Linked DNA regions of Styela clava. The protein of the gene in region 1 purifies or fractionates together with the protein of each later gene. This does not show direct contact. Links are inferred from orthologs where the notes say so. Each region holds a gene or a part of one and is shown on either strand. Other genes may lie near its edges.

Region 1 (16,123 bases):
ATTAGTATTATCTCTATATATAGCAAGATTGTTCCCACAACTTCCTTTTGCATTACTTTTCTGATAAACTTGAATTTCACCTTCTTTAGATTCACCCACAACAGCACGTTTCAAATGATCAGACGATGCCGTAAATGGTCGATATGGAAATTTCACTACCTGGTTACTGAAAGAGATTTGATCATTGAATATCAATAATAACAAAGTAAAAAATTAAAATATTCCAAATTAATTCCCAAAAAGTTAAGAGATAGTTATGTCTGTACAATTGAATAAAAAAATTTCAATATACATTAGTATTCAGATTAATCAATAAGTGAATAAGTGATTTGAGTTCTAGACTAAAAGCGTTAACTAGATGGTATCGCAACTTCGAAGGGTAAAATCTCATGCCCATCACCTCACCCATAGTGTTTTAAATTGGGTAGGCAATGCCGAACAGGAAAGATTTTTCAGTCATTTCAACTATAGTATTTTCTTTTTATCTAAGAGTAGCTACTTGGATAGAGCATTGTTAATAAAAACAAATTGTGTATAAAGATGTTGTGAAAAATTCTATTCACATGTCTCATTATAAGTTTATAACCCACATATTTACCAAAAAAAATTAACTGATTTTTTTAGTTCCCTCATATATATTGGATGAGGAATTGTGATTTATACGGTACAAGAACAGTTTGTGTATAACACTGATCCTGGCAGCATTTTTCTTTAGGAAATGTCACTTTGTACTAAAAAAACATTATCCGAAACAATACAGTTCTCATAAATACAGTAATGGTTTGATTAATAGTTCCACGTACAAAGGAGATCTAGATCTTGGTCTAACATGTGAACGAGGTGAAGGCATCATACTGTTTGTTATTGCTTTCCTGGTAGTTGATGACACTTGAATGTAGACGTGGCTTCCATAAAAACCTGAACATTAGAAGTAAAGTTAATAAAGTAAAATAATTTTTCTGTGATATGTGGCATGGAATTGATCTACATAGGTGCTAACCACTACTCAATTATTTTTACAGAAGATCCATATACTGAAGTGAAAAAATTATTGCGGTACGATCCTTCCAGAAAATATGTTCCCGATTTCACCTAGATAAATTTCAGTGCCTCTAACTTTATAAGATTAAAAAGAGAAAACGATTCTTGGAAAACTGAGTAAGTAGAAATAGTTTAATAACACCTGCAACTAGTAGATCCCTGGCTAGTGATTAATTGCAAACCAATACATCATTATTCACATTGTTCATTCTGGCGCCACAGTTGTTTTCGTATATAGATGTTAAATACAAATATGAGCTAAAACTTTATCTAACAATTATTTGATAAGAGGAAACTTCCAAATATTCAAAATTAAAGTATGGGGCCGACGTTTGCAAAATAAATAATGATTTAAATGAAGAAAGATCTGATTTGAATACTCAAAGATAACGAATCCTCAGTTACATTACAGGCCCCATTTAATTGGTAAAGGCCAGTCACCAATCATCGTCAAGCAATTATATCAGAGAGCCAGGCAAGATATAAAAATATGCTGAACTATACAATCAATAAATGATGGGTTCCTAAAATGAAAGTCAAGATAAGGACTCTCACCCATATAAATAGTGGGGTCTCCATTACTTCGGCCATTATTTCTATCCCTCAATGCAGGAACTGTCTCTGGATCGAATAAATCAAGTTTTTGATAGTTTCCTCCATTGACATACCAAGCATTTGCAATTGGACTGTCAAACTAAAAAAAGTTTCTTGTTTAGAAATTATGGTAAATTCAGTTAATATCACTTTATGCATTCAATGAACGTCACTTTATGCTAGGCGCTAGGAATACCTATGTCATCACAACTGTTTACCCTGCGCAGGTTCGATCGAATCATGTAAGGAATAATTATGTGCAAGAAGACTGCCGTCATAGGATAGATTTCATGACCATTGGGGCTTCCTTCACTATTACCGGTAAGTTAATGTATCTGGAACGAATAACTGATAACTATTACAATACTGGACATGGGCCGGTAACCAAATAAGAGGCCACGATTGGCCATATAATTAAGTTGTCTTATCAGATTCATCTATCTCAGGATAAACATGAAATCCTAATCCTATTCTATGAGGCTCAATTCCCATTTTGTTTGATTTTAAATAATCCATAATGAAACTTGAATTCAGTAATCTACTCTTTTTGATTCACCATTGCAAAATTCAATATATATGACATTTTAAATACATGTTTTAGTATACTAAACATAAAAAATTGACTATTGAAATCTATTTTTATTCCACATTTTAATCTATCACAAGTGGCAGCATACCTTGTGCTTCCAATCCAAACTAGGTTTATTTTCATCATTGAACTTGTAGATAGTGCCTTCTGGAACTAATACATTCAGTTTTGAGAATATACTCGATGATCTTGGGTCCGCTAGAATGTGAATAATAATATAAATGAAAGACAGCCACACCAGCAATTGTTTAAGATTAGCTCAAAAAGCATTGTGTATGTACGGTATGTAGCATTGATATTATGCCTGAGTTTATACTGATACCGTACCTTCTAATTTCATCTACAGACAGTAATAACAATAGCAATTTAGCAACAGAAAAAACAGAATCACATGTTGAGACAGTAACAAAATTGTATGTTGAAAAATTTTCAAATAAAAGATGCCTCATGTAAGGAATACACATGTTTTTACTGGCTTATCACAGCAAAGTCGTATTAAGTTTTAAAAAGTCTTTATATCATTCCATATTGTAATACATCTTTATTTTTTTTACATAACGGATAAATTCAGTATATTTGAAAATGAAATGAATGGTAGAGCAGAATTTTGAAATACCAAATATAAATATAATAAACACACAAAACAAAGACATAATCAGTAATAGCGACTACAATACTATAGCAGGTCATGAAATTGTGCCCTAATAAAACTTACTTGAAGCATCTGGATTCCCTTCGGAGTGAGAGTTATCCTGGTGGTGATGATGCATTGTGGTAGACCCCTGAAATGTTAGGACATAAATTACTTCTATGTATGCTTTATTAATAGGACTATTAACATTTGAGAATTATTGTACAATAAAAAAATCTGTGAAATGAAAAGAATTTTCGTATAAAATCAAGATGCTACATAGCCTACCTGTTCAGTCGAACTGCCCTCATCCCCAGAATGTTCTAATAGCTGATAAGTTTTTCCTCTCGAAACCTCCAATTCGACTTCGCCAACGGTAAAGTTCCAACTGTAAAAGAAAAGTTAGATAAACACAGAATATAATGTCCAAATAATTGAATAAAAGATTTATTGCTAGTGAATTGTCATATGGATAACAGAAGAGGCTTGTGAAATATCATCATTTTAGTCACTCAGTTAGCAGTTTGTCTGAAATATGGATGACCATTTCTCCTTTCAAATACTTGGACATGGTTGGTGGAGAATGCCACACCCATAAAGATGTCTCATGGAAAATGAAAACCACACAAAAGCAAGTGACCTATCAATTCTCCTATATATGATCACCCTCTCCCTTACAATTTGATCCTTCACTTCTCTACATTTTCTATAAATATATATTCAATGAATTGATGTCATTATATACCATTTAAAATCTTGGAAATCAAATTAACAAAAACTGACTGTAAATGTTATTCTTACTTTTCACGTCCATGCCTATTTTCCACAGAACGAACTGTTTGTTGACTTCTTTTGACAATAATTACATCGGTTGTTGGTGATACCTCATGAAATGTTTCACATCCATACGCAGAACATAGATATACAATACTAGAAGAGACAGAAAACAGATTGAGACCCTCAATGTGCCTATTTTTAGGATGAGAGAATGGAATTTTTCTATTTAGCTCAGAAAAGAAAAAAGTCAAAAAGATTAATCGTATAACGAGCTGGAGCTGTTTGTCTAGTTATCAGTCCATGACAGATATGGAAATAGTGAACCAGATATTCTTCCCAGATTCAAGGACTTTCTGGTGAAGGATGCCATAACAATTTTGTGATATCATGAACCACCCCACATTAACGTGTAAACCAGCAACTCTTTCCCACATGATTATCCATCGTAGGCTCGCAGCTTATAATTATAACACAAACATACTTTCCATTACTAGAGTCTAGTCCAAATGTTGTTACTTCTTTTCCACCAACCAGTATAGAGTCATCAGAAACTTTGAATGAAGATGATAGTAATTGCTCAGCTGAAAATGGCAAAGCCTAAAAAAATAAATAGTAAACTGACAAATAGTTACCGAACTTGTTAGGCCAATTTCAAATGAGATATATTTATGTATGGCCGTATGGGAATAACTATTTCCTGGAAGGTAATGTACATCTATTCTGAAAAAACTATATTACCATTTACAACTTTTTCAAGCATAAAAAATATATATTTTATTAAATTTAAACAAACATACCTCAACAGAATTTCCATCAAACTTGAACAAGCCACCAGATAATGAAGGTATGAGTCTGATTGTCTTCCCATCCTGCAATAAATAAATAGAAAAATAAATTTGGTTACTAAATCAGAGTCAAAGAAAAAAAGCACTATGTTGTGTTTTTTTTATCAAATTTACAGGTGAATATTTTTAATTCGCAATTCTTTTATTCATGAAACTGTACTATTATGATAACATTATTAGAAGCTCTCTATTGCCAATCCGTTGCACAAGACTAGTGTAGTGCCAAAGGCTCAATCATGTCTGTTTATTAGAAGGTGGAATATTTGTTAATCTTGTCTCTCTAAGTAATCACAAAATAAATTCATTATAATAATATACATGGATGAACGAAATATTTATAACAGATTTACCCAAAAGACCTTTTTATATTTGAGAGAATTGTTGGTACCATTAAGCAAAAGATTATCAGTTGATTACAGTTCAGATTGGATGACATGGTAGAAAACACTGGTCCAAGCAGTATAATAGTGATAAATTGTTTAACTAACTGATCAAAAAGAATCTCTCTATTTATTTATATTAATATATGAATCAAAGTAGTGTAAAAAAAACCTGGTGTAAAAAAATTCAATAATTACTAAGTTTAACAACCTGGTTGATTTGCAGTTTGGAAATGCTCGATGAAACGAGTGGGCCGCTCCCAATATCCATTGTCCACAACAACTTTCCACCATGTTTTGTGTCCAACGCTGATATTTTTCCATCCAATGTACTCACCACAATAAATGGGCTAAGAATAATTAAAGAAATGTTGGAAGAGATATACTAACAATTAGGGAATTCTATGTATTATGTGTTACATATTATGCAGGATGTAGTATAATGAAAGAGTGTTTTATAATGTTGTGACATTTGGGCTCTATTACTTCTTTACTATACCAGAAGCTAACATCCTCATTAAGTGAAGTCTTGGTAGATACTAGAACTAGACATAGTGAAAATACAGTAGTTTAGTTAGACCCTAACAAAGATGGCTGACACGACGGCAGATGTGTAAGATCATGCAATATTTGTCACGATAATAATAAAAATTAATCGTGACATGCATCGGTCGTCACATGACCAGTGTCTCCGCTAGACATTTTCTTGCTAAAACTCTAGAATGCTATATATAGCAATTTTTTTTCCTGCAGTAAATTTGATTATATTTTTCAGAGGAATCCAATGACTACGTTTTTAGATTGCGCTTAGATTGATCTCGTGAAGGAGGGGTTTGCATGCATTGTTACAATTGATGTGTTTCAATGTGAGGGTTTCTGGGAATCAGAGAACTGTGATGTACTCGACTTTCAACAATGAAGCAACAAAAGTTGTTTTTTGTTTTGAAGGGTTACAAGCTTTCTCTTATTTCTGAATAACTCTTTTCAGCAATTACTGAATTACCAACAGACAGACAGACCAAGGACATAAGAAAAAAGAAAGAATGACTACAGACATACCGATTTAACTGTCTACGCTATCGTAGTTTGGAAATATTGAATATTCACCTATTTCCTTTTGGTTCGTTAACGTTTGAGTGTGGTGTCGGAAAGACTTTGACAAGATCGTCCAAGTTGGTCTCTTTTCCTGGTTTGAATGTTTGGGTATGGACTTGCGCCTTCAGCAAAGAGGTTAGAGCACCAAGTGATGCCAACAATGCTGCCCATTTTAGTTGCATTAGATGTAGCATAGTACAGTAGTACAATGACACTTTTTATAGGTAGTAAATGGTCGGATTTAATTAAGATAACTAAAAATAACAAAATAAACATTACACATATCCTGCAATTATGGAGTGCAACACAATTAAGGTACAGACTTAGGAGGCAGATAAATGGAAAAGCAAAGAATAAATACTTGCAGTGACGGAATGACTCAAAAACCGGCCGCGTCATTATCGAACACGAATAATCGCGCTACTTTGAACAAAAACCAAAACATCGGATGACCAGGGGAAACCCCTGAGATGACGTGTCCCAAATTATGCTCTCTTCCGACACCTTGTGATATATATTAATGATAGACAGATCCGGTAGATAATTTGTTTATTTTCGAATACTGTTTATCAAAAATGTACAGATTACAGTGGATGGAAAAAACAATCATAAAATATACTCGAAAAGAGGGGCGGGCAAGATAATTTTTATTTTGGTTTGTTCGCAAAAACGATACATATTGGATGAAATAGCCACTGTGCGTAAGATGAGCATAAAAAAATTAAATGTCTGCATATCCCGGTGTTTCAAATCAAACAAAAACCGAGTGATCATTATCATAACATTGACCACAACGTCCACCCAAAAATGTGATGATCGATTTTGAGTTCTCAAATTTTTCGTTCAAACTTTTCCATATTCAGTTCCATTTTCTGGTCCCGATTGCGAGTTTCACTGCAATTAAATCTCGCGATTTAAAAAAGTGGAATAAATTAAATTTTTTTTATTTAGTTTTTTTACTTATGTTCGAGTACAAGCACAAACTATTATTGGCCAGAGGTGAGGCGATTTCTTCAAAACATCATTGTTAGTTTTATAAAAGTAAGACAATACAGAATGCTGAATCATGGATTTTGTGGCAGAACTAGAGATGATGATTTATTTGCGAATGCATTTTATTAACTCTATGCAATTCAAGAACCCTGCTGAGAAAGTCTGATTTTGGTCAAATGAAACGTTACATGAAATACGTTTGTGTTAGTTTGCAGCAGGACTCTTGAATTGCATAGTATGGTATTTTTATTTCTGTTACAGCATCCTTGCATTATACGCATACTTATCCACTAGCGCAAAGGCATTGAGAAAGGATCGGTAGTTAGTCTCGCGCAACCTCTACTGTTAGCATTTTATTTATATCGTTATTGTATTTAAAATAATGAACATGAAATATAATCAGTGGACAAAATTTCGAGATCAACAAGGCCAACCGACTGACTGTTAGCTATTCAAATGGCACGAGTAAATGTAAGAAAGTAACTAACAAACATATATATGAATCATGACTGGTTGCGTTTCCAGTCCATATAACACCAAGGTTAGGTGCGCACGAACAATTCATAACATTTGTGGCCACTTTTTATAAAACACTCATAATGAAAATAATTAGGGACCAGATTTAAACTGCATATAAGCACTTATCATGAATATCAGAGTTGAACTTGAAAACATCAGTATATAATTAGGGCAAGCTGTAAAAAGTCAATAATTATAGTATTCATATATAGTTTAAGTCAGAAAACGATGAACTTATTGGATACAATAAACTAGAAGTCGTCCCCTACTGTACATAGATGGTGTAGAATTCAGTGTTTAGTTTTGACAAAAAATGGTATGCAACAGTTCTTGAAAAACTCACTACAGGTTACGAAGCAAAATTACGTTACAAAGTATTTTTAATACTATCCGATAGAACAATTAAAGAAATGTCATTCATTTTCTCAATTTAAACCTAAAAAGTCATATTCTGACGTATATTGGGCTTTGTAAAAATGACGGCGGACTGCTCTGACGTAATACCACAGGATGACGTAATATTCGTAGAAATAGCACATACTGGAGCCGGTGGGATTCAGAATTTCTAAACATGGAAGCATAAACTTATAATCCAAATAATAGATACGTGTGAGTATAATCTTTACAGTTTGATGAGTTATTGGCGTATTCAGGTGTCTAAAACTCTAAATCCCACTAATTATTCCAAGCATATTTTGTATCATTTTTCATAATTTTGTTGACACTCATTCTATTTATTTCGTAGCTTTAAAGTTTAAACATTTCATTTTTGTACAAAATCATTCCTTAATGTTCATTGAAAAGTAGCAAGCAACTGGTTTGTCAAGTACGGCAACTCAGTCGTTAACCCCACTGATGTGATTTTATCTACCATCAGTTGATTTGCTGATTGTAGTCTTTATAGCAAACTTCTTCATATTCCGTCAATTATAAAATTGTACTGCAAACTGAAAGATATCTGATCTGCACTGCAATCCCAGTCGCAACTATGGGGCATGCGCGTGCATGTCGTCGAGTTATACTATACTCAGCATAAAAAGTTTTGACCTTAGTCCATGAATAAATGTATGAATTATTTGATGAAAGTAATGAAGTAGATTAAAAGTTGTTTGCAATCAGTGACGTTTAACCCAGTCCCAGAACGGCGGTTACAGTTCAACTTCTGAATAAACGTGTTGTTGTTTGCTAACGCTGCGGGGATAGTGTGGCGCGGTCATAGATAAAAATGTTTGAGTTCCGAAGACAACGATTATGGCTTGTCATTGAGTACATTAGTTTGTTTACTCATGTTCTATGAAGATTGCAGCAATCTTATTATTATACAATTGACCTGATGACGAGGGTGGTGGTAGTTTAGACAAAAAGTTAAAATTTATGCGAGTTTTGAAGTTGTTTAGTTTATAATCATTTTTGAGCTTTGTATTAGTAAAAGCATCAACATTAAACTTTTGCGGACTATAGTATACAAATGAATATAAGCACCTCGCTAATGTGTAAGGTTGCCATCCAAGGGGTACTATACGTGGTGGTATATATTGGTCGAATAGATCCCATCATTCCCAATATTAGTGTATCTTTGCGTCTAAGGCCCTAAGCGACTATTTACTTCCACATCATAGCTCCTCGTCAAAGAGTGAATATATTGGTGTCGAATATCTATAATTTGGAGGAATCCCATCTCAGTCTAGAATGACCGTTTATAAAATATAAATCCAAGTACAAAATTAGGTAATGTATATATTTATCATAAAAATATGTAGATATGATAAAAATATTATCGATTGAGTATAACATCATTTTACGGATCATTAAAATAAACACGTATAAACGATGTACAAGTTTTTTTTTTAAATCACGCATCCGTGGAGTTCGATTAAGTTCTGGCATTTTTATGTTTCAATATTTTAGCGCACAGGTGGTATTCGTGGTTGTCACCAGATGTATATCTATTTGATATTATGCGATGATATTTTTCTTCGGTTACACTTACAGATAAAAATATTTGATTTCGATTGAAAACGATTAACCTTTGGTATATATTGAGTACATTAGTTTGTTTGCTCTAGCGATAAGAAAAGAAACTTGTTGTCTCGTAAACGGATTAAACTGAGCACCCAGCGCATCCGCGTTGCTCCTAAATTGTTTAAAGTTGCTGGTACCCTTGTTTGTTAGTAAATTTCGGTCTTTGCTTCCAATTACCGATTTGTATAGAGGCGCAGTGGCATACGTACTGAGCTAGTTTGTGGGATTAACAAGTAATAAATTTGTGACCACATGTGAGGCTTTTATATTAAACTTCGTGTCTCCATCTGAATGCGAATTGTACTCTTCGCACAACGCAGATATGAAGATTACGATTACAAGGCGTATAACAATCAAGCATGGGCTTTGTATAATACGGCATTTGTACCTCAAAAACTAGTAACGAGTATTTATACATTGGGGATTGGACTTATGTAAGTAAATAAATATCAAGTCGCGGATACATCAATAATGCTGGTTTGACGGAACTTCCATAAACTTTAACAATTTCTTCTGCAAACATGGGTTTCGCTCTCCTCTTCAGAAATGATTTGCTATTATGGATGTTTCGCGCGCGGACAAGAGGGTATTTATTCTGAGAATTTCAATTGAATTCGATACAATAGTAAAAACAATCTGGCCCGTAGTTAGGGATTTAAAATTTAAGAAGATACCGCTTTTCATTTGCTTTATATGCCTGGTTTGGGGCATACGTGTTCGGTATTGTTCAGTTCTGGTCCGTCCATATACGAGTATAATGTGGCTACTGGTTCAGAAGCGACATTTTGTCTGAGTACGAGGTCATCCATCACGTCACCTTTCACTCCTCCAAAAAAGACTAGATCTTTGGAATTGTAACCATAATATTGATTCGTCACCGCGCGTTCTTGAATTTACATTGTCTCGTTTGTTTTTTCAAGTTCACCGTCATAATAAATGAAGGTTTTAAACAAACAAAGACATGTTCCACAATCCTCTAACGAGACATATTGCTGCTATTTTGGGAAATGGGAATCGTGCCCCCGTAAAGAGAGTTTACAATATCGAGTGCTCTCGTCCTCTGGCAGCTATTCAAACATTATTATACAGAGTTATGATATTAAAATATTTTTAATATAGCGTGTTTGAGGCCGGACTTTAATTTTATCTTCATGTCGCGAAAACGCCCGTTTGAAGTGGACTATCAATACCGTGATGTAATGTTATACTCATAACAAGAATGAGGCAGGGAGTTTAATCTCGAAAAAGACCTAAGTATCCATGGGAAATTTGGATGAAATTTTGAATAAAAACAAGAAAAATTGTAAATATAAAAGTGAATAGGTACTTGTAGTTGCAGGTTGCTGAATAAAATGAATAACCTATTAGAGAGTTTTGTTATAGAAATCTCTAGATAAACCACTTCGATTTTAATTAACTGAAAGCTGTTAGAAATTGAAGAAATATTGACTATAGATGCTTGATTTTTTTAAATGGCGAACGTGACTCTGATGAGGCATGAAACTATTTTAGTTCAGTTCAAGTGCACCTAACTTCTTGTCGAAATACAGTTTAGGACATTTTCGTAATTCAGGTTAAAAGCTTCAGCTAAGTGGCGTAACTGAGGACACGACATGAACTCTCAAAAATTTTAGAACAGTGAGTAATCCATTGTTCTGTATTTGGGCACCTTGACATCATTACAAGTATGTACATAAGTAGTCTGGGTCCCGCTTTTCTTTGGACGGAAGCTTTGTTCGTGGTGGTTAATGGTTGAGCCAACATAAAGTTGTTTTCGTATTGATTTTCTCCGCGTTTGAGCATCAAAATCAATAATGTCGGACTAGACTATTATTTTAGGCAATATAACTTGTACAGATACTTATATGTACGAGTACTTCGAGAGGTTTTACAATACTTAAATAAGTGCGATGTGTTATTAAGCTCGTTCAATTCATTGAACGGCGACCCTATATTAGTTTCAAAGTTTTTGGCAATTTGCTTTATGCTGGTAAAAACCATTGATTTGAAATCGTGGGAAGATTTGAAACAAGATTTTACAGCTCAAGCCTTCTATTTTCTCGTGTTTTTTTTTTAGATTCTTGTACATTCCTTCCAATGCGAACGAACGTGCTGTGTATTTTCGCGTTAATTATATATTCACAATTTTATAGCTTTTATTCGTTTGTTTAATTAATAGGGCTTAAATTCATTTCCATGGAGTAACGCGCTTGAAACTTTACGTCATATTGTCAGCATTTTACGACTTGATATATAGCGCCAGGATACTATTTGATGGCGCCTTCATTTTGATCGAGACGGAGTAACGCTATCCAAAGTTATTGTGTTGTTAAGGCCACATGTACACGTGCGTTACATGCTTGGTCTTCGACGTTTAGGAATTTTTTAATTTCAGTGTTGTAAATGTAACTGATTGAGTAAATATATGTGTAATACTCAGTAACCGAGATTAAGGGAGTTTTTAATTAAATGTATATAGACAAACGTCATACTGAATATAAATATGTAATAAATGAATGTATGTAACAATGTGTAACGGTACGACGTAACGTAGGCAGGAAAATACTAATATATCAGTATATGTTATAATTTCACAGTATATTAGCAGTGCTTGTTCTCCGGTCATATTCTTATCATCGTTGGGTATTTGGGGACATTGAGACGAAGAATTCAAGGCAATGTCTCTTTTCAAAACATCTTCCTTTGCAGAAAATGGATTAAACTTTCAACAATGCAATCGACTGGAAGAAAAAGCTTTACGAAAAAAGTTGGATCACATGAAAACAATGCATCGACAGGTATGTGTTGAAGCTATTTGAATACTGTCGCTCTGAATTTATTTGTATAAAACGTTATTGAAAACAAAGGACAGAACACGTCACTGACAGGAGTGACGTCAACGATGTCGGCGTTTTAACAAATTATGTTAGTTAAAGATATTTATCTTATTCGCAACATAAAACACCGACAATGAATATTAATGAAGTTTCCAATATGTAGATATGGTTACGAGTAATTTTTTCAAAGCTTATTGAAAAATTAGCAGACTGTGAGGACAGGGAATTATAAAAATGCAATATACTAAATATATCTATTACCCAAATATTTTCATCAAATGCGTTGAAAATACATATTCGTGAAATTACGTAAAGTCGAATAATCCCTTGGATATTCTAAGAACATTATTTCATTTTATGGTCACCGACTCGAGTATTGAGTAAAATGGCGTTGCTATTGAACCATTAATAAGTATAGTTGATATTTTAAGTAACTTTTTTCCATCGCAAAACAAGTTAAAAAAAAACATGCTTAGTATCCATACTTAGAGCTTGATACAATTTCTTTTTTTAAACAACTTTTCATTCGACTACAGGCTGATTTTAATTTTGGACTTGAAAGTAAGGTGATTACCAAAAGACTGAGAGACAACCTTGAACGTTCAGCTCAAGCTGACGCAAGCATCAAAAAAATTAAAAGTTCAATGCCGGAATGTAGTACAAAGTATCGCAAGAATCGTAACTTCGCAAAGACATTAATGGAAGTCTGGAGCGATGAAGATGCGGGTATAATAAATATATTTAAACATTGCTAAGCTGCATTATTGATGTAAGCAGGTCAATGCGGATGTTACTATTCGAAGCTATTTTTACCGTTCTAAATCATTCTGATTCTACATATCGGAATTTAGTGATTTGGTTATGCTTTCTGTGTCGTATTTTTGTATCATCAGTTGTAATTCATTTATAAATCGGCAATGATATGTATAAATTACTGGCAAAAATAATTTACTGAATATTGATTACTAATATAATATAAAAATCCATCAACTTGAAACTCGAAAAATGAAAAATGGTACATACATACATTTGCGTTAGTGCGCTTGACGTGATACCTATAGAATAGTCACCTTCATTCTGCCCCCAACTTATTTGCATTAGATGCATACATATCCACCAGAGTGTTATCATCGAAAACCGATATGCAGTTAGCCGCACGGAAATCTAATCGGTAGCACTGAGTTCGAGTAATTGGATATGAAGCTTTAGCTCTTTGTTTTATGCTACAGGAAACACAACTGCGATGTCTGAAGAAGTTACGATTCCTGCTTGTATAAATCTTCTGCGATCAGCAGGTTTTGAGATCGATAAAAGTTTATCCCGTAAGTTGGACGAGATGCGAAAAGCGCAGGTGCAAATACAGAAAATGAGAAATCCAAGAAAATCCAGGGGCGGCCAACGCTTTAACACTCGATCGAAATCTTTACCAAGATTCAACAACGGGAGGCTGACAAGTTATGGAAATGAAACACAGTCGGACTATACAAATCCATTCGAATCTCAATCAACTCATTTGCCACTGATTCAAAATGGCGGTAGGGAGCGGTTGTTGTCTTCTTCGTCGTCGACGGCATCTTGCGACATTCTAAAGAGCGGGCATTGGCGACTACGGTCGGACACGCAACCAAACATTACTCCGGTAGTAAAACTCAACCGAAGCAAACGCCCATACTCTGCTCCGGATTTGGAAACAAAAGTAAGTTCGGTGGTTAAGAAATGTACAATCAAGCCGCAGATTATTGAAGATGAAATTATGGAAACGCAAGAGTCTATAGTCGAAGACTGCTCAAACGATGACGCTGTTCCTAAACCACTTACAAGACCTGCATCCGTTAGTTCGTTCAATAGTGACGATATGAGAGCGTATGGCGAAGAAGTCTCTCACAATCAATGTCCGTTGCAGCAATTGCACAAAAAGATTCATACAAGCCCAGAAGATGTAAATTTATTAGATCTACATCGAGCCACAATCGCATCAAGAAATTATCCGCGACGGATGAAAACGTTTATGAGAGGAATTCATGTAAGGAGTGTAATATATGTCTACGAAAAAAGGAATATGTTTTTTCTTCCAACACCACTTGTAACAACAAACTTGGGTCGTTGAGTTTAACTTGTCTCCTATAAATTTCAATATTTTTTTTTATCAATGCTTCCATATTTTCCTTTAAGCCTTCTGTCGTATTATTTCTCAAATTTTAGATTATTCAACATGAGCCGCCCAAACATAAATTTTGTGATTCTTGTAGCTCAACGGCTGGTATTATATATCTATATATATTTGAACCTTTCATGTTCTGAAGTGTGTTACCCCATTTCTGTATGCTGTTCATTGATTTTGGCTAGTTTCGCTAGCTCATATCAATACTGTAGCAGATTTAGCCTATATATCGTGAAATGATTAATTAAAATTTTAATTTCGACGAGCGTATGTATTGCGTAATCTGGTGAAGTCGATTCTAACTCATCTTTACACTCCTGTTATGAATTGGACATGTTATGAACTGTTATGAAAATATATGTAGTCGATTAAGCAATATATATATAAAATACTTTTCCATTCAGGAGTGGCAAATTCCAGAAGACGATAAAGTAGATGGACTAACGGGAGACTATTACTCATTTCGTATACAAAAGAAAAAGGGAAGTTGTACATCGCAAGGTGAAGGAAGGCGAGCAACATCTGCCAGACCATATAAAAGCAAGTATTCGACAGATGAGTTGAGCGGTGTCAAACTGTGCAAGGATACCGAAGAGGAATATTATGAAAAAGCGTTAAAAACTTCAAAGACAGACTTGAGGCACAGAAGTATGACGATAAAACCGCTCAGTACTGTTTGGGGTTCGAGCGAATATATAGAATGCATATTGTGAATCCGTACAGCTCTGATCTGACTTTATTAATGTTCACATTCTAGATGAAATTTAACATATAATATTTGTACGGTAGATTTGCGTACAAACAAAGCCAAAAATTCAAGTATTTTATTTATAAAATTTCAAAAACTCCTGAATGTTTCGAGTTCGGGAATGAAGAACGTTTCCATAAGGGGTTGGTCTTTTTTGTTCAGCCATCATGTGGTGTTTGTAACGTGGTGTGCAAATACAGCCAAAAATATGCATATAGATATTGACAATAGATGCTTGACTTTTTAAAGTGGCGAACGTGACTCTGATGAGGCATGAAACTATTTTAGTTCAGTTTAAGTGCATCTAACTTCTTGTCGAAATACAGTTCAAGATATTTACGTATTTCAGAATAAGGCTTCGGCTAAGTGGCGTAACTGAGGACATGACATGTACTCTGAGAATTTTTAGAACAGTGAGTAATCCATTGTTCCTTATTCGGGCACCCTGACATCATTACAAGTATAAGTACTACTGAAGTATGCGCATCAAGATGTCGCACAACCTGGTACACAACCTGAGTTCAGGTTGTGCGCCATCTTAGTGCGCATACTTCAGGAGGTCCCAAGTATATACATAAGTAGTCTGAGTCTCACATTCTTCGGACGGAAGCTTTGTTCGTGGTGAGTAATGGTTGAGCCAACTTAAAGTTGTTTTCGTATTGGTTTTGTCCGCGATTGAGCATCAAAATCAATAATGTCGAACTAGGCCAGGGATGGCGAACCTTTTACAATGAATGGGCCAAAAATTATATTTTTATCGAGGAACAGAAGTGAGTGGGTCACAGATATATATTTTTTCAATGTTTGTATCTTTAAGAAACTTCTGAAATCTTATAAGCTTCTGTTGGTGTTAGTGTAGTTTTGTGCTTTACCTATGCAGCACTTCTATCA
Region 2 (16,387 bases), on another chromosome or scaffold:
TGTTGCCCAGCATAATTATCGTCGCCCTATGCAAAACTTGATCAAACGATTCTTTTTATTTGATGAAAAATTATCAAATAAAATTGTGCGATTATTCAGCAAAGTATTGTGCGGATGCTAAGGCATAAACAATAATCCATTTGAACTAGCCACATGAGTTTATTTACAGTGACGAATGAGAAAAATCTTGGACCGGTTGTCGAACTTTACCGCAGATATTCCTCCTAAAGATACTCCTCCTTCTCGGTTGGATAGCAACATGGGTCAAGACAAGAATAAACAGGAAAACAAGTGGTTATGTTTCCGAGCAGCCGTATACGCATTCAAAATTGGATGTTCGTTCACTGTTTTTTACGTAAACTGCTAGTATCGTAGATTGGTACAAGTCGATCACGTAAAATGTCCATTCATTCCTAGAGATCACGAGTTATATTTTCAACGTTTGTGATAATTATGATATCATAAGTTACGTAAATGGTTAAAACTCTCCGATGCCAGTAATGTAGAGTGTAGACTATGCAGTTGGTGCCACAAATTCTCGCAACTAATAACATTTCGTTCTCGTTGTCAATTCTTTCAACCTTTTCGTCCACGGATGAGCACATACGATCAAAATCAATACCTAATTCTAACTTTTTGTGGCGAATTGTAGAAGAGGAAAACAAGTTATGAAAAAAGACACAAAAATGCTCCTAGTTTCAAACATAGCAATCCTTACATTGGAAAAATGAAGTGTCCTTGTGGACACCGGTAAGGCATCTCCCGAATCATAAACGGCAATCGCTATTTTTTTATATGATTGGTTGGAAAGACGAAAGTGATATGGAGATTGATGCACAACAGAAAACAAAAAAATAACAAGAAGTCGACTCTGCTGGAGAAATTGGGCGACATTTTTGAGAATACAAAGTTGATCATGCATATGATGCGTGCCATACATTTCAAACAAAAGAGAACGTAGCGAGAATGACCGAGATTATTTTTCGTGATTTAAGAGGTTGTATACAAAGTCGAAAAAAAATTGAGATGCCTTTGACAGATTATATCTCGGCATATAAACTTTTCGACGGTGCTAAATGAGTCGACATAATAAAAGATTAGTTTGGACAGCAACCAGAAACTGCGGTAGGTAATCCTATCATGAAAGAATTTTTTGGACAAGTTTCATGTTTAAGTGAAAATGAAATACTCCAAGTACCGAAAAAGAAATATTTCGCTACATGAAAACATTGTCTCCTGAAAAATGAATTCATTTACAAAAGATGGTTCAGTGGGTTGTTGTGATGTCTGGCGCTCGATTTACCATTGGGCCAACGATTGTACACAGAACGATCCAAAAAGGAAATTTAGTTGCGCAGTTTGTGAATCCAAATAAAATCATGCGATCACAAGTAAGTAAAGGCTGCTGATGTATGAAGATGTACATTCGACAAATGGTCGAAATAGTATGGCATACGAAACAAGTGCGCAAAGATTGATTTTGGTTGTACACTAACGGTTTGTAGAAAAGATGGGTTGGCGCACTATGTTGAAATGTTGCCTTACAATTTACATGACAAAATTGAGAAGAAGATAAGCTAAGTTATATACAAGTTTGGACAATGAAGTGGGATCCATATATATATACCCTACGTTTGCCGATACGGATATCTTGCATACCATGCTAAAAATACTAAGTCATCGCTTGTTCACTTCCCTTACTTCACACGCGGATTTCCATACCGACGCGATTATCTGAAAAGTTAAAGGAGAAACTGCGCTACTCTAACTCCAGGGTGAAAACAGTGCTAGTAAAAGCTGAAGGTAAAACAAAAAAACACCATACATTTTAAGGGAGCCCTGGAAAGATGAAACACGCTATGTTAGAAACTCTAAATCGGCGAAATTTTGTGCGCCAATGCCATGTATCATGCCAAGTTGGAAGCTGGACCACAGTCACAGAGTTTACCTTCCCAATAACTAATGTAAATGTATTCAATCAATTTTTTATTCTATGGCAGCTCTTGAATACGAATCAAAACTTAATATAATCGGTCAGTTTACAACGCATTTTCAAGTTAGCAGATTGCCTTGGCATACTTTACAGTAGCAGTGATCTTATATTGGCAAAAATCGTTGGAACTATTGACCCAATTAAATTTATATAGAATCGCATCGTATTCTGAACCACAGAAAAACATTATCCGACGGACGGTCAGCTTTTTTAACGAGTGGCGTAGTCGCGGTAAATGTTTGGTGTGCGATGAGACCGGAGCAAACAAACTACGGTAGATTTCGTTTGAACTAGCTGCGAAGACCATACACTTACTGTCTAAGGCTAAGCTCTACCTACCAAGTCGTAGTTACTGGTGACCGTACATTTGAACCCATGTACATTTGAACCCATGCGTATATCCACGGGTTCAATCTATATGCGGGTGCTAAAACCCATGGGTTAGGGTTAGTATGGGTTTAACTATCCGTGAAACAAAAAAAATTCCATAGGTGCAATAGCATACAGGTGCAATTGTCATGGGTTCAAATGTACGTGGGTTCAAATGTAATGGAACCGTAGTTACTAAACTGCACCGCCTCTACCCTTCGGTCAAGAAATTGTGCAAAGATAACTCTTCTACCGTTCAGTTGTAACATTACTAGCGACCAGTTGTAACACTCTAGTGACATCTAGCAATGACCAAAAAGCTACCCAATAACCTTTTGAGCTAAAGGCAAAAGTTAATGATTTAAAGACGGTACCGGTACCGGTACCAATACTTGAAAATAACACGTGTTGCTTCATTGCACTTTTTCATCTTCAACATTTGCAAAGTTAATAAGGTATTTTGTTTCAACTGGATTGACATAAATACAACATCACATAGACTAACTCTAGAAAGCAACTAGCAATTGTTCATAATGCACCAAAACAACCTAATGAGGAATAAGGTAATTAGGAATTGATTGATCATACTATTGGAGTTACAGAGTATTCAACTTTTAAGTTTCCATATCAGACTAATGCCCAATAAAATGTTTAAGAGCTATAAATTCAGGGCAGACGCACATCGGTGTCAAAAGAAGTTCAGCTTAATGTTCACATTGATAATAAAACTAACCCAAAGTCAGGAGTATAGTCAATATTGACCTTGCTTGTGGTGTTTCGGTATTAAATCAAAGAGAAATGAACTAATGTAATACAACTACCTAGTTACATAAAATCTGACAATACATCTTTCTAGCAACACCAAAAACTGAATCAAATTTTATGATCTTCCTCATATAACAATCAGAACAAAAATTATATGCCTGGGTTGCGCCCTTCATCCACTTGCACATCATTAAGAATCAGATTTTTCTTGTGTCGTCAATAAAATTTTATCTAGTTCAGATTGCTTAAGTTTGATTTGAGTCTCCAATCTCTCTCGAGTTGCAGAACTTGGCGGGTGTTTTCGAAGAGTTTCTCTCAGCACTTCAATACTTTCTTTATATCCGAGGATGTTATGGAATACCCGGACATGTCTGGCACAAATAAATAAAAACAGAATGTACATTTTATGTGTGGAAAACAAAAATGCAATGTGATGGGTAAAGCATTGGACCTATGTTGCCATCCTGGGTGAAAAATTGAAATATTTTTAGTCCATCTACATGCCCACCATCTCACTGAATTGGTTAATCTATTCCTAGTCCTTCTGAAAAGCAGTAACAGCCTTTCCAGGTGACTGCTCAGCTCCAGTGACATAAGGAGTAATTGTAAAACATGCTGTAAAAATAAAACCCCCAGTTTTTTCACTACTTTTTTACATCTCTCAGCTGGTTAGTATTGAACATGTATAGGAAGAAAATTATGTACCTGTCCCCAGCAGAAATAACAAACTTTCCTCCAATATCGAATGCCAGTGCGGTTATCAACTCAGAATGAACTTCCTTAAACTGCTGATCAATATCACCTAGTTTAAAATAACGCACATATTGACATGGTATACTCAAGATGTTGAGATTAGATACTTCACAGATAAGGAATGACTACAGTGCGAAACCCATACTAAAATGATAAGGCTTCCATTTCACATGATGAAATGAGTGCCAAATTATATTGGATAAAAAATTTTGACTACATCAAGGCAGACTTGCTAAAATATTAAACTGATTAAATATATACCAGAGATTCATACTTGGAAAATTTGAAAACATGTATAACTCACCTGTTCTAGTTGACAAAACGCAAAAACTATTTAATGATGCAATTGCAGCAACATTACCATCATATGAGAGAGAAGTAAAACAGAAATTATCGGCTGGTGAAATGTCGCCAACATTGAACAAGCCTTCCTTTAACAAACATGGCTCTTGTCCTTTTTCATATTCTATATCAGTGTCATAGAACCTCCACATTCCTTTTTTGGAAACAGTGATCATCCTAAAAATATGAGAAAAAAGGGTAAATCCATGAGCTTTTATTTTAAAAATGTATTTTGTATTCGTATAAATCAGCACTATGGGTCTCTACCAGTCCTAATTAGATATGGATTGCAGATTCAACTTGAAGTCTACGAAAATAAAAGAATTTTTCTAGAATGACAAGTGCCTTAGCAGCTCTAATGTGAACTTATATTTACATCGATAAGTCATATAATAATAACGATATACCTTGTTGAATCATTGTTGAAAGCAAAGGACCATACTGATGATTTGTGTCCCTTCAACTCGAATGCCCGAACAACATCCTTATATGTCCCAGTCTTAGTAAACCTGACCTCCCACACTTTGACATCTGGAGTCCATCCACAAGCACCAACATACCTAGTAGTTAATTTATACAATAAAAAATATTATCTGGTAACAATTAGAGAGGACAGTACACATAGCATCAAGTTAGGAGGCGGTGTTGATTATTTATTCATAGCCTTACTTGGGTTTTCCATTAATTTAGGTGGTAAATGGTAATCAAATTGTAAATGTTTAAAAATGCATTAAATACTATTTTGGTTTTCTATATAATATGGAGAATCAAAATATACCTGCCACATGGAGACACACATGCATAATTATTGGTTCCCAAGTTGGTGTTGATTGTGTTTAAAACTTCTCCTTTAATATCACGAACAATGATTGTTGTGTCTTTGTATGCAGTCATAACAAAACTTCCACCACTGGATGTGGCACCAACACCAATATTGAGCAATTCCTGTCTGAAGAATAAATGATTTCTTTAAAACAATAATATTTCTGAGTGCCAAATGCTGACACGGCACCAAATCCCCTCAAATTCTGCAATTTACATCATCTTTCTGTATTAGTTGACTTTTCCATACTGTTTGCATTCAGTAGCATAGTGAGTGATTGGTGGGCTACTTCCGTAGTAATTTCCTTATTTTAGTTCTATTATGAGTTCGGGGACTGTCTGTGTTAGCCAAGTGAATGAACCCCCTGCCCATAGGTTTAAGTCCCTTTATACAACTTAATGTAAAGTAGGCGAACAAAACTAGTTACCTCCATATTGGTACACACCCTTCTGGAGCGCCGAGTAATTTAATATATCTTTTTCATCTATAGTGCCATTTACACATTGATAAACAATCAACGGAAGACAAAATGAAAATTTTGTGAACTTTAAGATTACTTGAAATCATCCTTGAAATCATTTTCCAAAGGATTGCACATTGTTGTCCTGTCGTCCTTCTTACCAAGTCTGAATATTCTGACATTGTTGCCTCTGGCCAAGCCAACAACAAATGCCCTGAAATTATAGTACGTTCAACTTAATTTGAAAATATTCAAAATGCAAGCAAACACATCCAGCACACAAAACGTTAGCCTTGCAATATTCAGTCCAAGTGACAGCTTTGAATAGGGCTGAACACACTTCTCAGGCCATAGAAAAATGTCCAAGAATAACACATATAAAACGAATTATTTTACAAATATTGTTACAAAATTTACACAAGCTTTGATGAACTTATTCCTACAAGTTTTTTTCAATGCACAGAGCTTGACAGAGAATTCGGATCTATTACATTACAGTTTACAACATTGGTTACCCATATTACTGAAAGTAAAAATGTCAGTACACTTTTGAGCACTTTGACTATCAAGAAACCGAAAAACCTGTGCCGAACATCAATGCTACCAGACCGTCGATACTATATCCTCAACTATGAAGCGCTATAATACTTGTCCCACCTGGAATCCGGGCTAAATTGGATACACTTGGCATGATCAAGTTCAACATTGACATGAACACATTTGTTGCCCAAACCGAAATCTTTGACACTCCATAGCCTAACAGTTCTATCAGCAGCAGCAGTAGCAAAATATTTTCCATTGATACTGAAGTGAACTCCAAGTACATTTCCAGCATGACCCTATAGTATTTCCCAAAAGAATATTTTTTTGTATTACTTTCATTTTTAAAAATTAAGTGATTCATTATTTATATTCTTTAATTTGATATTTTTTTTATTATTTGGACATTATATTTATGCTACTAAAATTTGAGACTAAATAAATCTGAACAGTCACCTTTCAGAACTAGTCAAAACATAACAGTCACCTTCAGACTTGTGTGAAGAAGATCATGAGTAAAGTTAAACGCTTTTTTCAACTGCTTAGAAGTTGAAGATTTCTGAGAACGTTTTGATGACTTATTTGTTCCCACATCTTGTCTCGAATCATCTTCTAAACCAGGAATATGCAATATGTCAAGGACTAGATAATACATTCATAACAAAGTAGTACAGTAATATGCCACAAGCAACACCAAAAGCACATAAATATCAAGCTATTCATCCTCTTATCTAAGGTAGAAATATGCACAGAGTCCCCTTTTTAAAATAGAATAAAATTATACACAATGCAATAATTTACAGAAACTTAGTAAAATAGTGAACAGATTCTTCAATTTTGTCTTTCAGTCTTTGTTTTAAGCAAGCCAAGGGGGTTATGTATAAAATATCTCCAGAATTGTTTATATAGTATTTCTTATTTAACAGTTTAAGGGGCATTTCTGGGCAATGAACCCATTCTTTTTCTGGTAAAACAATACATGTATAATAATAACACAAGTGGTTGGTTGACCAGCCCTGGATGGTCAAGGCTCTTACTGTCTTACCCCAACAGGATCGTATAACTGAAGTGCTTCGGCAGACATCAGGAATAGGCTTTTCTGCCTCAGGGATAAATATGAACATAAAAGACAGAATGAATCTCGAAACACATTCAGACGTTCAAATAGGCTTAAATCTGAGTAGGCCCAACCAAAAGGCCTTTACAGCCTTTGATAAATTCATACCTGAATTATCTTTCTTATCTTCAGTCCTGCTCTGCTTAAACCATATTAAAAAGGCAGAAACAAAGACAAGGGCTATGGCTGCCACAACATTCCACGAACTGAGGGTTTGTTCCTGCATAATTTCTGAACTTAGGATAGGATAGGATTTAGACTTACAAACATATATAATACTAGTTACAAGACTAATTTCATGATATTGAATATCATAAATATGACGGTTGCGGTGGGCACGGTCCGCATGCATACATCAGGTTCATTCACAGATCTGCAGACGATTATTGCAGTATTTTTGCAAACTCCTGATATCAGGATATCTTTTACTCACAAAATTGTACCGTAATTTTCGTAGAAATATTATTTATTTATGGTCATGTGAAAATACGTTGATAAATATAAATTCCTAACACGATATGTCTGTATGTGGACAAGCAAATAAATACATACAGCGGTTCGTTGTGGCCACGTTACAAAAAAAAAACAGTACGGTACCGGTACGGTAGTCGCTTTGGTTCCGATTCCGACCGCCTTCGATGCGGACGTGGCTCTTCGAGCCAATTGAGTGTGTTCGAGAATCAGAATTGCCGGTATCAAGAAACAATTGTTGTTGAAACTTTTAAACAAGATAACAAAAATTTATTTTGACTACGAGACTAGAAATGTACAACTGGGGTGCAAAAAATGGAAGATTTTCAAGCGAATCATTGCACGGAAAGCATGAAGATAAGTTCAAACGAAATTAAGCCTGGACTGGTTTCCCTGTGAAGACTCCGTGATGTGGCGCATCGCTTGCCGCGAACCTGTGATTACCTTGCGTCTGTGTTCGCAGGTTGGAATCATTGAGGTGTGGTTGGAATCCTATGCCTGTATGCGGGGATAATTATGTGCGAGAGAGTGACAGCACATTTGCATTTTGCACCCGTAAACTGCACACAGGAAATTTGCACCCGTATACATTTGCACCCACGGACATCTGCATATTTGCACCCATGGACATTTACACTAGGGTTACCATATCTGGAAATGTGAAAAATTCCCATCAATGTTTGGAACATTACAAAGAACAAGCTGAGAACTAGGGTTGGATTATCCGGATAGCGGTTAACCGGATAACCGATTAACCAAGAGGTATTTTGTTATGTGATAACCGGATATTATTGTAACGGTTAACCGGATAATAGAGCAGTATAAATAATGCATATGCGCATTAGTGATTTTTATATTTTTTGTTTAGTGGCCAATGACATCTCTCAGAGCATATAATATTCACTTATATCCACATCACTCTGCATATTTTAGTCATCCGTGTAATGCTGGAGTGAACTTGACTATAGTATTACATCACAAAACACGCAGAAAAATGTGATTATTGCGTATTTGCGGTATAGAAGAGCCCGACTTACCTTAAAATAAAAGCATTTCTACTCTAGATATGAAAATAAATGGTAAGCTGCACGAACAAATCCAATTTCCTATTTTTGCTATCTTGAAAATTCATCAAATTTGAGCTATTATTGCAATTCCAATGAGTATAATTTATTTAGTACAATGAATGCAGATATTAATTAGCTTATAGTTATATATCAACATTTTCGGGAGAAAAGTCGGGTTCAGTTTCGTCGGTATATAACGCCGATAATTGTTTTGTTTCGCCCGGAACTGAAATGGCCGCAGTATGTTATCTATCGTCGTATCTATCTATCGTTAAGACTTAAGAGAGTAGATCTGAAACACACATTTTTGACTGACAATAAGGAATTGAATGCTAACGAAAATACCACGACTCTTGATTTATGAGCCAGTGATAGATAAAACAAGACTCTATTTTAGGCGCTGTTGAATGGCCAAAATTTCGTAATAATCGTATTTACTGAATTTACAACAAGGGTAACTTTTCACGGGATGTAACTTCTTTTCAAATTAAAACTGGCATAATGCCGATGTTAATTCCCCAAACAATAACGCGATGCGGAAGAAAACGATCGGCGATGATAACACAATTAGCCTGTAAAATTCGACCGCCTTTATTAGTGACGTTTTCGAAAATTTCAAAATGAGGAGGAAAGGCTGTTATTACATTTATGGTTTTCATGGAACTTTCACAAACAAATTTGTTTGCAAAATGGTCTATAATATTTCGGAAAAGATTAATGTGACAGACTCTGTATCGTGTCATGTTTTTCGTTTACTCATTTAGGGTGGTAAGTAAAGTTGTTCAAAAACTGGCGCAGCATTGTTTTGGCTCTGTTAATTTAGTTTAAAAGGTATTCGAATGGAAATAGATTTAAAGTTGTTGCCTAATTAGTACAAACGTGAGAATATTTACAGCGACATGTTAAATAAGTGAAGTTTTCAAATTAGAAGAAATTTCTGACCACTTCGGTTTTTTCATAATCATCAATTTGCTTTGTTATTAAAATTTTTGTTCAAATGACTTATATTTTCCTATACACTTCACGGAATTTGTTCCCCCTATATTCTATTTTTTGGATACTTCTCTCACCGAAATAAAATGTTCGAAATGCACGATTTTTTGTGTTCATGATTTCATTTATATGTATGCTCTTGTGGTATATATTAACAAAGTTTAATATGGCGTGCAAGAAATCACCAAATATTATAGAAAACAAAATACTATACATGACAATATTAAATTTCATTGCAATTGATAGGAAGGTGCGGATGATCAGAAATGATCATTGTGAGTCTGCGACACTAAAATTTAGTACGAGTCAAAATTTAAAGAAAAGAGGCTCTAGACACAAAAAGAAACTTTTAAAAAACTTTACAATAAAGTAGAAATAATATAAATCTTTACATATTATTTGAATAGGGAAAATAACTTAGCAGTTGGGGAAAAAAAAATTAGGACACAATATTTTCAAAAAATGTTTCATTTTATTATTCCGCTGTACATCGGTACGACTACTGAGCTTAAATTGTATAATTGAGTATTTACAACAGAACTGTGTGGTGGTATTCGTTCAATTCACCGCGAAAATCCTGCGAAATCGGTTCTCTAAAATCAGCAGTAACTATCCGGTTAACCGTATATTTGAAATACGGAATACCCGGATATATCCGTTATCCGGATAGTGAAAATTATAGGTATCCGAACTAACCCTAATCCCCACTGCTTCTAAGAAAAATCTGCTGTAGCCGCCACTTTGATTCACGGGAGCCAAAGAACAACACACCACATGCGGCTCAGGAACCGCAGGTTGCCGACCGCTTGTCTATGAGGAATAAAATGTTCGCCAATCTGATCTCCGAAGGTCTGTTATAGGATTTACATATTTATCCCTGGGGAGAGGAAAGTCGACAAGACGGCTTAACCATATGGCGAACCACGGCCTCTCGTCCGGTTACCATTCCATGTCGGGTATGGGATTAGTTAGTTACGGTATTTGTTTTCGGTAGCATGGATTTGATGGTAGAGGAAGTCGCGATGAGTCCAGCAATCTTCTTGCACACAATTATCCCCGCATGGGATTCGAACCTGCGAATCCCGCAGAGTAATCAGAGATGCGGTGGCGAGCGTATGATGATCCACAACGCCGCGCCATATTATTATATTTGAGTTGAAAAATTGAGGGGCCGCGCTCGTACTGCTTAAAATCATAGCAATAGCGAAATCAGCCATGACATGACCTTTGAAATGCAGTTTGATCTAATTTTCGTATTCTTCTGTTTCTTTCGTGTTATTATTAAAATTGCTATCGTAGTCCGCCTGTACGTTTTATTTGATGATACAGGTCTGCTTGTGTGGGAAGGCTGGGCAACTGCTCTTGGTTATTGACCCATTTCCTTAAATATTCGTTTGTTTTGGTTGGCCGTTGGCACTTGTTAGCAGTTTGAAGAATAAAACTTGATTTTTGTCTCTAACGGCTAATTTGCGTCATGAAAAGTCAAGTCAAAGTTCATCGTGCCGTTTTTTTCAATTCCGAAAAACAAAAATAAGAAAAGACACGATAAACAATAATTTATTCAAGAGGATACACAATAACTATATTCAATTAGTGTAGAGGACATAGTCAATGTTAGCATGTTATCGAATTACAACTATTTTCGTCGTTGTCTTCTTCTTGTAGTTCCGCTTCTTCAAAGGTGTTCGGAATTAACTTGGCTCGGGTTTCAGGGAGGAAAGCAGCAAAAACACTGCTCAATAATCCCACAATACCAAAGGCAAGAAATGGGTCATTCGGTCCAGAAAACACCTTCAAATGAAAAAGAAATCACAAAACGATAACAAGAGAGCTACGCCCAAATATATGGACACGTCTGTTCGCAGTACAGTACGGTTTCCGTTCCGTCATATCACAGTCTACAAATATATTCACACCAAGCGAAGCAGTACAGTAGGACACAAAATGGCTTCCAATGCCCGCAGAACATTCGGTGACGTCATAGCAAACAAAAACAAATCTCACAGAGCTAACAGAAATATTTGAAATAAATAAAAGTAATAGCCTTCTGGAGAAAAATTCCATCTTTAACCACTAAAAATTTCAAAGCAATTGGTCCAGTGATCAAAGAGAAAAGCGGTTTTTTAATATTTCCACTAGGTGTCCAAAAAGTGTCAAATAACAACAAGAACAAGAACAACATAACAACAAAACGATCGTTATGTCCACTAAACGTGTCCAATAATAACGACAACGATATATTTGTTCCGTTACCTTTCAGATGCTGCACAATAGTACTTCTCATAAAAAACTTACCGCAAGATTTGCTAAAAATGGAGCAATTACACCACCAACTCTTGCCCAGAACGACATTGAGCCCAGTCCAACGTTTCTCACAACTGTTGGAAAGAGTTCTGCAGTATATATCTAAATAAGATCAAAAGCTCCGCAAATTCCCAGTTTTCCGAAAACCAAAAGTGTCAATTTGTAGTTTGAGCGATCTGAATGAAAAACGGTAATTTAATCTTTCTGTTTATCTACATTTATTTCCAGATTTACATTTTAGTAAAGTAATATTATTGTTTTTACCAAAATAATTTGGTCGGGTTTGTTGTCGACTGAAACGGGATGGTTTATGAAGGCTGAAGCTCTATGAAAGATCAAAAAATTTTTACGATGTCTAACGAGAAATAAAAAAATTCATTCAATCGGCTATAGCTAATTCCAGTTAAACAGATTATCTTCCAGTTACAGCAATTTATAATACGTATGTATTATAGTCATTTGAGACAAAATTTACACTATATAATTAAAATACATTTGATCAATTAAAACTGGATTTACCATGGAAGAGCAGTTAATTAAATTGCTCCAACCAGGCCCCGCTTTATGTATTATGTACTTTACTTTCGTTCGAATCTTTAAATGTATATTTTCATGACAGACTATTTGGCCTGAAATTCTGTTTATGTTATAGAATTTCGTAAACAGCACTTTATTGTGGGTCCGCAAGCATCATTTCGACTTAACGAAAACTGTTCTGTTCAGTAGGCATCCAAGTAATTACATTAAAAAACATATTTTCAAATTTGTAAGGTTGCTATTCTCAGGTAAATATTTGAAATTACCTTGGCCGAAGGAAACGATGTACATGACGAACATACACAGTGCATCTAAACCCATGAAGCAGACCAGCGTTCGTCTTCTACCAGCCCTGTATTGAGTAAATCGATTAAAACTATATATATATATGGGGATAAGAATTGAACAAATACAATCAACTGAGTATACTTAGCAACACCTCTTCAATTTCTTGCGTTATATACTAATAATATAGCATTTGCTGCTTATTTTCTATGGATGTGGCCATTTTTTATGGAGTCAAATATATCAGTATATAAATATAATCCCGCGGCCGGTTTATAATTTCACCACGATGCCTTTACTCATTTTCAAGGTCATATGATCTGTTCGTTCATTCACTTTCAACGATTCTCGCTTTATTTTGCGGTTATTTTGTAGGTTAATTTTTACCAGTAGAACGAATAGATGTTTTTTTTTGGTGGACTCATTCAAGTTATCAGCCTGTCAGTCCCAGATTTTGACTACGTGATTTTTAGGAAAGTTCAAAACAAATGGTGAGTTCGAGATTTTTTCCTGTTATGGTATTGGCTTACCATCTTCTCTCCATAAGATAAATCGTAAAGGGTATTGATGGAAGCTGACTCAATCCCGATATTAAATATGCAACATAAAAATTTGAACTAAAAGATCCAGAACCAAGTGTTATGCCGTAAAATACAAAACTTGCGGTGAACCTGAAAATACAACGTGATTTGAGTCAAGATAGACAAACCTAACCGGATATACAATGAAGACGGATTTCACACATGGCTATTTTTTTATATAAATACTCGAACAATATTTGGTCAATCTATTTCATTTCGGTATAACTCTCATTTAGATTGATCGTATAGATACACATTACGGATGTTATTATGTCAATTTTAGCTATGCAAAATTATACATACCATTGTAAACTTAAAATGGCTGCTCTGTATCGCAATACAGGTTTTCTTATCAAATTTATAATTGAGCCTTCCTCGTCTCTTGAGGCATCTTGCTCTTGTTGTGCATATTCATAATTTTGTTGTAGCATTAGACGATCTAGTGAAATATAACCTTTAAAGTTTAGTAGGAACTTTTAAGTTTCGTAGGAACAAGTTACACAACTTTAGCTTCCAAGAACAACTTCGTTGTGTCATATCATTTTCTCAGAAATTTTAAACACATCCCATCCGCACGACGTACATAATTACCCGTATAGAGTTAATTAATAAGAGTTTCTGTTCATGGCGTGAATCACGAGGTCACGTTTTCAATGTTAATTCGTTATTTGATCAACGTACATATATACCGTTCAATAGATTTTCAATGTGAGCCGATTCTAGTTTTAAGGAGTTTTAAAATTGTATTCTGTATATCGTGAAAAACTACGAATGAAATCAAATAGAGGTTTTAACGTCTATTCATTCGCGTGGGTGTTGAGAGGTAAAGCGTGGGCTTAAGATTACGAGTCAGAGTAGGTCAACGACACTCTGGTCAGTCAATCCTGGGGATTCTGTTTAATCCCTACATTTGCAACTGTTCAGCAATTCTGTCCTATGATGTAAATGTTTCTTTTGGGAAGTTAAAAATATAATATCTTGACATTCATTCAAGTGTTCATCTAGATCTGACTTCATCCAGGAACGGTATTTAAAACGAGTTTAAAATAATTTCATCCCGTGCCTTCATTGACGTTTTCATCTCTATTGATGTCGACATTGGCAAGATAGCTGTTCTAAAATCTTCTGAAGCTGGTTAGAAGATTCTGTGTTTGTGAATTTCATTTGTGAGAATGTTTTAAAAAAAACGTATATCTAGAATTATTTAATCCGCGTTTGATAGATACGTACTTTCATTTTGATGTCCCTCATCTTGGCGTTCTTTCGCGTTCCCCGGCAGAAGAGCATATTCTTAATATATTAATAATAATTATCAAGCGTTATTGAAATATTAGAATCATATTATAGGAGAATTTACGTATCAGCAATTACACATGTGATTTACTTTTTGTTTTTCGTAAGCAAATATCTTTGAGTGATATTCAAATTTGCGGGCATCCAAAATATTTGTTCATAATCACATATATATATATATATAATATAAAATACCTGTGTGAGGCGATCCATTCCACCTTGATAGTTTTTGCATCACTTCTTCTGCGCTGTCTGGTTTACCGCGAGACAACAGCCAACGCGGCGACTCTGGGACAATGCTGAAAGGTGTTAAGCTAAATTTCTGCATCAATTTCATGTAATATGCACTTAAACTTTACTAATGTATGGACTAGCAGTATTGAAAATATTGGCATTTCGACAGAACTAGCACGGGATATATAAATATTTCACAATGCTATATCCAATTCACCATCGTTAAATAATACAAAAAATTAAACATCCTCGATATGAAAGCTTGAGATCCATTCGCTTTCCCTCGGACTTTGCCATATTTTATCAATATTGAGAAAATGCAATTTATATCTTCAAATATATTCACTAACGTATTTTTTCACTTACTATAAAAAAACAAATCCAAGAATTCCAGGTATCGTTGTAATAAAATACATTTGTCTCCAACTAGGATAAAGATAGGCAACCCATAGAAACGCTAACATATTTGCGGTGAATCCTATTGCACCGAGAGCACCTGAAAATAGATTCATTCAGTCCTATAGCTGTTGTCGAGCTTATTGGTTTTCGCAATTATTATTTATTCATTTTGGATTAAAATCATATGAAAGTCATATAAGCAATTCCTGTTGTACCAGTAAACGGAATTGGAGTCATTTGTACTCACCGTTCAGGACCCAAAGCTTCGATCCCGTAGTTTCTTGTATAAGTATAGTTGTCACAACACTTAAACCGCCAACAAGGAAGCCTGATATAGCTCTACATACTGCAAATTGTTGCCAATTTTGACAAAATCCACTGATAACTTGAAATATCAGAACTAATATGTATCCTGAAAATATATTTCAAATGCTCTTTTTAATTACTTTAAAATCGCAGAAGTCGCAAATAAATTTTCTCACCTATAACCGAAATTTTCTTTCTTCCATAGCGATCGGATAATTGTCCAAAAACGATAGTCCCAGGCATAAAACCTACGTAAAAAATTGATTGAAGGAAGCCTGGTATCCAACTGCGATCTTCAGTTAAATCCCACCAAAGTATTTTTGCAATAAAGAAAGCATAACGACTAACTATAGTGATTTCGAATATTAGTTGAAAATCAAATTTTACATAACATGATCCCAAAATACGTGAATTACTAAATCAATGTATATAAAAAAAAAACGGGAAATCCCTAGATTGTTCACTTAATAAAATGAAACTACGTTACCTTGGACACAATGATTTCTGCGCCCTGAGCGTGTGGATTGTCATCAAAGACTGTCGACGGCGCAGCAGAAAACACCAATAAAATCACATCAGGGGGTTTCGACAACTAAATAATAAAAAATAATTATACTTTGTCAGATTTTTGTTTAAATTATTCATTACTATGCGATTTTGTATTGTTTAGTATATATACGATTCTATATTTTTGCCAATACTTGCTACTAATTATGCAATGCTTTGTTAGATTTAAGTTATTGAAGTCTCAATTG

Evidence for each region.
Region 2: the proteins of eukaryotic translation initiation factor 2-alpha kinase 3-like (region 1) and transducin beta-like protein 2 purify together in Homo sapiens (affinity purification with western blotting; 3 studies listed by BioGRID). This does not show direct contact. The link is inferred for Styela clava from reciprocal best matches to the Homo sapiens genes EIF2AK3 and TBL2.

What each region holds. Positions count from the first base shown.
Region 1 is NC_135258.1:16,026,349-16,042,471, reverse strand, and holds the start of eukaryotic translation initiation factor 2-alpha kinase 3-like, read right to left. Parts: upstream 6,237-16,123; 5' UTR 6,147-6,236; coding exon 5,965-6,146; intron 5,208-5,964; coding exon 5,069-5,207; intron 4,502-5,068; coding exon 4,430-4,501; intron 4,230-4,429; coding exon 4,114-4,229; intron 3,786-4,113; coding exon 3,657-3,785; intron 3,244-3,656; coding exon 3,144-3,243; intron 3,007-3,143; coding exon 2,940-3,006; intron 2,423-2,939; coding exon 2,313-2,422; intron 1,736-2,312; coding exon 1,597-1,735; intron 919-1,596; coding exon 804-918; intron 167-803; coding exon 1-166. Other genes in the region: uncharacterized protein LOC120338767, read left to right, coding at 12,165-12,284, 12,860-13,049, 13,553-14,346, 14,889-15,197. UniProt on the Homo sapiens protein: Metabolic-stress sensing protein kinase that phosphorylates the alpha subunit of eukaryotic translation initiation factor 2 (EIF2S1/eIF-2-alpha) in response to various stress, such as unfolded protein response (UPR).
Region 2 is NC_135252.1:3,516,059-3,532,445, reverse strand, and holds transducin beta-like protein 2, read right to left. Parts: upstream 7,441-16,387; 5' UTR 7,389-7,440; coding exon 7,271-7,388; intron 6,658-7,270; coding exon 6,533-6,657; intron 6,345-6,532; coding exon 6,163-6,344; intron 5,720-6,162; coding exon 5,603-5,719; intron 5,172-5,602; coding exon 5,001-5,171; intron 4,783-5,000; coding exon 4,630-4,782; intron 4,400-4,629; coding exon 4,185-4,399; intron 3,930-4,184; coding exon 3,833-3,929; intron 3,499-3,832; coding exon 3,318-3,498; 3' UTR 2,762-3,317; downstream 1-2,761. Other genes in the region: solute carrier family 22 member 15-like, read right to left, coding at 12,100-12,173, 12,801-12,886, 13,350-13,490, 13,704-13,839, 14,631-14,690, 14,889-14,992, 15,294-15,423, 15,574-15,738 and 1 more.